2 linked regions of the Tribolium castaneum genome follow. The protein of the gene in region 1 interacts with the protein of each later gene in a pairwise test. Links are inferred from orthologs where the notes say so. Each region holds a gene or a part of one and is shown in the gene's direction. Other genes may lie near its edges. The genes, in order: sau and Tctp.

The links.
Region 2: the proteins of sau (region 1) and Tctp interact in binary tests that used the Drosophila melanogaster proteins (3 or more experiments, as listed by UniProt). The link is inferred for Tribolium castaneum from reciprocal best matches to the Drosophila melanogaster genes sau and Tctp.

What each region holds. Positions count from the first base shown.
Region 1 is NC_087403.1:8,423,483-8,427,787, reverse strand, and holds the start of sau (Golgi phosphoprotein 3 homolog sauron), read left to right. Parts: upstream 1-1,317; coding exon 1,318-1,503; intron 1,504-1,555; coding exon 1,556-1,802; intron 1,803-1,858; coding exon 1,859-2,034; intron 2,035-3,789; coding exon 3,790-4,038; 3' UTR 4,039-4,305. Other genes in the region: tRNA pseudouridine synthase Pus10, read right to left, coding at 1-243, 295-431, 478-712, 758-871. UniProt on the Drosophila melanogaster protein: Phosphatidylinositol-4-phosphate-binding protein that links Golgi membranes to the cytoskeleton and may participate in the tensile force required for vesicle budding from the Golgi.
Region 2 is NC_087398.1:7,081,209-7,084,496, reverse strand, and holds Tctp (translationally-controlled tumor protein homolog), read left to right. Parts: upstream 1-1,196; 5' UTR 1,197-1,328; coding exon 1,329-1,356; intron 1,357-1,550; coding exon 1,551-1,809; intron 1,810-1,997; coding exon 1,998-2,229; 3' UTR 2,230-2,499; downstream 2,500-3,288. Other genes in the region: uncharacterized protein LOC135266299, read right to left, coding at 1-457, 508-701, 754-754; spir (protein spire), read left to right, coding at 2,756-3,288. UniProt on the Drosophila melanogaster protein: Involved in calcium binding and microtubule stabilization.

The sequences.
Region 1 (4,305 bases):
TTGAAACAGGTTTCTTGAATATTTACAGTACCTTCCGGCTATAAAAATATAATCGTGCTTGTAAGCCACTTGGTCGAAACTTAAAGCTTTCCCGGGCGGTTCCGGAGGGACAGCGGCATGTTTTTTGAAAAGTTCGGTGTTTATTGTCTTTAAAAACTCCCCGATTACGTTACGACTAAGACCCTCGTTTTGTCCATTTGATTTTTTCAGTCTACTTTCCATCAGAAACATAATTGACGACTCCTAATACAACTTATTAATTTTTAAACAAGCAGTGGTTAGTCCTTTCGTTACCTCTTTTTCAAATTCATAAGTCGTGTTAAACTGGATTTGGAGCAATGAATCTTTATTGAACTTTTTGCCAAGTTTTTCGCCCAGTTTGTTTTGTATTGACAAGGACCATGCCCTGTTTATTGGAACAATGTTACGATCTGAAATGTAAGCATTTCAACTATTTCAACAAGCAAACCAAACAACCTTCAAAAAACTTGGGGAACTTCTCATTCATATGAATCTCCATGCTGTGTTCCCTTATTAGAACAGCAACCGGAAAACTAATGAAATTAATAAAAGTCTTGCAATCGTACTCCTTAACACCCTCCAGTTCTTCACACTGAACCATGGATTCAAGAGTCACATCTTGGAGCAAATCGAGACAAATTATGCACGAATTCAATTTCGTCTTTTTCGCCAACTGGTCGTGTCCGTTTTGCTACAAAAAAAACCTTTAATTGTTGAAAATACGACTTTTTTTTACCTGTGGATTATCATAATCGGCTGTGTTATCGCCAACGTAGCGTAAAGCGCACCTTTTGCAACACCCAGTCTCCAATAAAAAATTGAAAACTTCGGCTTTATCACTTTCGGTCATTTTTAAATAAAATAATGTGGTGGCAAAAAGTGAGGTTAAAAACGGTGGGTTATGCAACCCATTCGACAACAATTTTTTCCAAACTTGAAAAAATCCCGTGGTGGGGAAATCATAAAAATTGTGGGTGCTGATTACTTGGCATTGTTAGATTTTCTGTACAAAGGGATTAAATTGGAATTGATAAGAGCGTGACGTAATCGTAGGACGTAATCACTTTTTCCCGATTTTTGATTTTTTATCCAAAAAAAAGGCTTGAAGGGTTAGTTTAGTTTGTTAAATACTAGAAATGAATAATTTTCTTAGAAAGTGAGCGAATTTGTCGATTTTTCGGACGGAGTGGTTTTCTGCCAGCAGCCTACATGCTTTTGACATTTGCCATGTTGATGGAAGTCAGTTAAACGTCAAGTCTTGTAGAAAATAAATAAGTTATTTGATATTTAATTAAAATGAATCGGAGTGAAGGGCTGGTGCAAAGACGAAACATAATACGTGACTCAGGTGAAGGTGTGAAAGAATCGCAGAACAATGAGAAGAAGCAGGAGCACGACGAAGACATAGACGAGGGCGATTCCAAAGAAACCCGATTAACTTTAATGGAAGAAGTATTATTATTAGGCTTAAAAGACAAAGAAGTAGGGCTTCGCCCCCCGTGTGCTCACCACACCTAACCGTGTCGTTTTTAAGGGTTACACATCGTTTTGGAACGACTGCATTTCGAGCGGTCTCCGGGGGTGTATTCTAATCGAGTTAGGTTTACGTGGACGTGTGGAACTCGAGCGGGCTGGTATGCGCCGAAAGGCGCTCCTCACCCGCAAACTTATCCTCAAAAACGACACACCTACCGGAGACGTCCTCCTAGATGAAGCTTTAAAACATCTCAAGGAAACAGATCCACCAGAAACGGTTCAAAGCTGGATTGAGTACCTCAGCGGTATGCTCCAAATGCCCCTTTCTGCCCCCAGGTTCACTTAATTGCGTGCTTTTAAGGCGAAACTTGGAACCCCCTCAAACTGCGCTACCAGCTGAAGAACGTGCGGGAACGCCTAGCGAAAAACCTCGTCGAGAAGGGGGTTCTCACAACGGAGAAGCAAAACTTTCTGCTGTTTGATATGACCACGCACCCTCTGACCGATAACGTCACCAAAAGCCGTTTAATAAAAAAGGTACGTTTTGATACAGCAGGTGGTAAAGGGTGCCCCGTTCTACTAAATAGTAGATCAAGTAGAACTTTAACGATAGGCAGGTAAAGTACTAAGAAGAGTATACGACTTACACTTGCGAATTATTCCCTAATTACATTGTCTTCATTTCTATTTTTTTGTTTTCGTTACGTTTTTACATAATTAAGTGTATTTATGTCCACAACTTTCAAAATCTTCACTTTTTTTAGTTAAGTTTTCTGGGTAGTCTATATCGTCGTATATAGAAAATATCATTTTTGCTTATAGTTTAAGTTTTTAAAATTTGTAAAAGCTTTGAAAGAGTGTAACTGAGGTAATTATGCAATACTCCTTCCCAAAGCTTTTATAAATTTTAAAATTGTAAGATATAAGCACAAATGTATGTTTCTGAGAAAAAACTTATTCTTCACCTTTTCTTTATTTTTTCCTATTTATTGAATAGTTTATTGTATTTATTTACACTCTCTGGTGTAAATTATATTCGACACCGATTGTGCATAACAAATATTTGGAAAATACTAGTCTCTAATTCGACTGCCTTGAACTAAAATGCAGTATCTGCTTTTAATCTTTCAGTAGACCAAAAAATACTTATTTAACCGGCCTCTTTGAATGACTAACTCTTTACTCATATTGTTTAACTTAAAAATATCGTTTTTTTAGGACAGTTTAAGACGTGAGTATTAAATTATCTAAAACAACGTGATATTAAAGTATAAGTGGATATTGAGGTATTTAAAATATGCAGGATTTGTCGAGCACGACGGCGTAGCCGGAGTGCTCGTAAAAGAGTTATACATGAATACTTTACGTTAGTTTTTTTATTGGTACACTTTGAAATCATAAATATTGATATTACAAATATTGAAAATAATGTAATGTGAGATCAGTTTACCTTTCGTTGCCATGGAATTGATTATCATTTTAATAAAAAATGTTAAAAAAGTTAGTATTTATTTTCACTTTTCTTGGGTTATTATGTTATTAATGTTGCCATGGACACTTTAAGAAACGTGCTGCTGTGTGCTTTAAATAAGCAAAATAGATTGCCAATAATAAACTAAAAGTTCGATTAAAAGTTATATTATTGTATAAATGTATTCTTTTTTACACCTATATGAGTTATTTTTACGTAAACAAATGGACTACGATTGACTGTCTCTAAGACATTTTGTAGATACGGTGTTTTACCTTGGGAAAAGGAATGTTTTATTACAGTTAGTGTTTATTCATTTAGAAAAAGAATTGCTAATAAGTATTTAAATGAACCTAAGCGTAAAAATAATGCTAAATATGTAAAAAACTCATCAAAAAATTTTTTGGGTACTGTGTTTTTACTTGGAATTGATTTGGTCCCATTCCCATTTTTCAACTAAAGGCCAGGATATTGATAAATTAATTACAATTGTTAATTATTTACAAATTATTAAATAATGTATATATTATTGTAATGTCACAAAATTACGTATGTATGAATTTTAGCTTGTTAATATGTTAGTTCCTGTGGGAAAAAAGGGTTTGGTTTCGTCTTAAAAAATCCTAACAGAATTAACTAACTTATTAAACTAAATAGCACGGAGGTTACGTATGTATGCAAAATTTCAGCTGGTTCGGCAGCAAAGCAAGTTAACTATTGTTTGCCCTTTAGAGATCGGGAAATACTTTGTTATTTTGAATTTAAGCAAAGTGTGTCTGAATTTCTGGCGGAGGGCTTGGGGTAAAAAACCGCTTTTTCAGATCCAGGATGCCGTACTTACGAAGTGGGTGAACGACCCCCAGCGCATGGACAAGCGGATGTTGGCGTTGATTTTCCTGGCCCATGCTAGTGACGTTCTGGAGAACGCTTTTGCGCCCCTAAATGACGACGACTACGAATTGGCAATAAAGCGAGTACGAGAGTTACTTGACTTGGACTTTGAGCAAGAATCAGTCAAACCAAACACTTCGGAGGTACTGTGGGCCGTTTTCGCCGCTTTCACGAAATGAAAATAAACTGTTTTTGCTACTAAATTTTAACTATAAATAAATTACGTTGAAATATTGAAGTTATCAGTTTTGTATTTAATGTGATGTTAGTTTGTACATTGGAAATTTTTTCTATGTGGAGTACACAGGCTAGACTAGGATAATCAGTTTCAGTGGTAATACACAGGGTGTTTAGCTTCGTTGATGTTTAGAGGCTTCGGACATCAGGAAACTATGTACTCCAACTTTTATTTGTACATAACTTCGAACTAAATGTATTGTTCATGT
Region 2 (3,288 bases), on another chromosome or scaffold:
CCTCAACCAGTTTAATGCGTGCCTCATCTATTCTGCACTTCTCCAAAAGAAACTTTTGTTTGTCTATGGCCTGCACGTATTCTAAGCTTTGTAGAATTTCTTCGATATCTGCAATAATTTTTCTGGCTTCTTCACTTGCTTCTGGTCTTAGGAGCCAAGTGAAGCCCACCACATTCGTGACGCCTATTTCGGCACGGAACTGAATAATTTCGTCCTCAGTAGAGGACCTAGACAGTGCCGTATAGTTTGATAATTTCGGCTTGTAAACATCAGCTAACTTAATGACTTCTGTTTGTGGTGTTGTTTTTGATGGGGCACTCCACTGACACTCAATGTCAGTAGCACTTACATTATAATGAGCATAATATAATGCTGCAGCCATATGATGGCAAGCCACGTTGCCCCTTGGGCAGGTACAATGTGCCGTCTTAACCCCTTCTTCTAGGTCATATGAAATCTAAAACACACTTTGTAGAAGAAATGTCTAACAGTTAAATAAATACAAACCTCCACAGTATAATTTAGCTTTTTCATGCTCGGTAGAACTTCTGCAGAAATTCTCATCGGTTGTACTGTGCCATCAAACCTAAATTTGGTGACGTGACCGCTGGTAAAAGCATTTTCTCCCCGAACTAAAAAGCGATTACCGTCCCCAAAAAATTTCGCAATAAAGTGAAACTTAACAATGTGCTTTTCTGCCACTAAAATGCATAAATATAATAGTTTCTCAAAGTATAATTAAAGCTTACTCACTTTCTCACCGACAACGTGGTTCCCTGTATTCTTTTATAAAGTTCGTATTTTCACAAAAAGTCACTTCTAAATTAAATTAAAGTCTCTAGTGGCACAAATTACACCCGCTGCAGCTATTTGACACGTTATTAACGCACAAACACAACCAAAAAACCGAAAAACGTATTACACCACATGTAAAAGACTGGTTGTTTAGCTTTGAGCAACTGACCTACCGTAATAAGAGTGGGGAGGTGACGTCACGACTGATAGCGCGTATTGCCGCGTTCTAAACAAATCCCCCAGAAAAAGCTTTTACCACTTGTACATTTTGGCAGCATTATTGTTCAAATTGTGTCAGGGTGATTATAGTTCTGTTTGTATTACTTCAATCAGGTAAAAAAAAATCAGGTAAAAAAAAATAATTCCTGATTTTTTAAACATGTAAATGGGAATTTTCGGGCAAATGCCAATGCGCGCGCACGTGATGTGTAATTTGAATCTGTCAAAGAAACTTTCGACCTTTTTTGCTGCGTTCTTGTAGCGGACGGGTCGTTTTTAGTTTTCTCAAGAAAAACTACAGCAATCCCTTCAAAATGAGGATTTACAAGGACATTTTTACCGGTAAGTGGCGATTCTCTCAATTTTCTCGCAAATATTTTTGGAAAATGGTGACGTTTTATGCAAAAATTTAACCTTTAAATATCCATCTGTCAGTTCGATGACACTTGAAAGTTCCTCCTTTTGCTGTAAATTCGCAGAATTTGCGATTGGTTGGACTAGCATGTGGTTCCCGACCTAATAATGTACATTTTTAGGCGATGAGATGTTCTCTGACACTTACAAAATGAAACTAGTTGATGAAGTCGTTTACGAAGTTTATGGTAAGCTGATCCAGCGGAAGGAAGGAGACATCCAGCTGGATGGGGCTAACCCGTCCGCTGAGGAACAGGACGAAGGCACAGACGAAAATGTCCAGTCAGGCGTCGACATTGTTATGAATCATAGACTATGTGAAACTTATGCATTTAGTGATAAGAAGTCATACACCGCGTACCTTAAAGACTACATGAAGAAGTGAGTACTTTTGCACGACCGTTGCATGTACTAATACTGGGTGCCGCAACTCGGTGGGGCACTCAGAGCAATTCATGCAAAATTATTGAAGAAGTTATTGTAGTGTTTGCGACCGCAAGCGCATTATTACACTTCTGCAACAGTTTATTGCAAAGTTGAATGTTTGCAAATTGGTTTGTTGTTTCCAGATTGGTAGCTAAATTGGAGGAGAAATCTCCCGACCAAGTAGAAGTTTTCAAGACCAACATGAACAAAGTGATGAAGGATATTTTGGGGAGGTTTAAGGAGCTCCAGTTCTTCACTGGAGAGTCCATGGATATTGATGGAATGGTTGGTCTGATGGAATACAGAGAAATTGATGGAAATTCTGTGCCAGTGATGATGTTCTTCAAACACGGCCTGGACGAGGAGAAATTTTAGTTTGTTTAAATTATTGCTTTTTGTTATATATACCATTTTATTTATAATTCCATTGAGATTTGTCTTCAAATTCTAACATGATTCAAACAATGACTTGCTTTCCAAATTCTAATTGTACGAGCAATCTTTTGTGCGGCAACAATTATGAATTATACTCATAAGGAAATTGAAATAAATGATTACTTCCTTATAAGTATTTTTTGTTGAACATTGGCTGTAACAATACTGTAATTTTGTGCGTTTTACCGAAAATAATTTTCTACGACCCAATACGGCCTTTTTATTACATCTACCCTGTTTCTAATTATTGAATTGAATTGTTTGAGTTCAGAAAGTAAAAATGTTTTAGTGTTTTTTTAAATTAGGTTGGTACGTTGTTGCCCGTGCATGCGCACATCATTTGATCGATAACGTGTGTGGGTGCATCTGTCAGTTTCAAGGTTTCCGCATTGATTATTTAGGTTAAGACAGTTCTCCAATGCTCCGCAAGTGGGCAAGTCCGTGTTTGTGTGTGAAATAAACAAACATGTCAGCAAAGGCCAAGTGTAAAGTGAATTCGGACGGCAGTGTTTGCTTGGAGGACATCCTCAACTCGTTCAACTCCTCGATTCGGGAAGAGCACGCTTGGGCCCTTTGCTACCAATGTGCAAAGTATTACAGCGAGTGCGTCTCGTCCCGAAAACAAAACGTTCACATAGTCACAGAAGTCCGTCATGTGTACTTGCAGACGGACGGCAACGTGCACGAGAACACGATCAAAGCCAGAGACACCCCCAGGAAGCTGCTGCGATGCGAGAAGGACGTGATCGCGGGCCTGGGGGTGGTGATATACATCGCCCTGGACCAGGGCAGCCAGAACGACGAGGAGCGGGTTATCAGCCAGGACTTGGAGCAGCTCATAAGCGACATGATCTCGGACGAGCTGAACAGCTCGGAGCAAACCCACCACGAAACGGACGATGAGGGCATCGAGCGGGACTCGGAGGAGGGCGAGGAGGAGCCCGGGACGTCCCGGACGCAGCCCCACATGACCCTGCAGGAGGTCATCAGGCGGTGCGA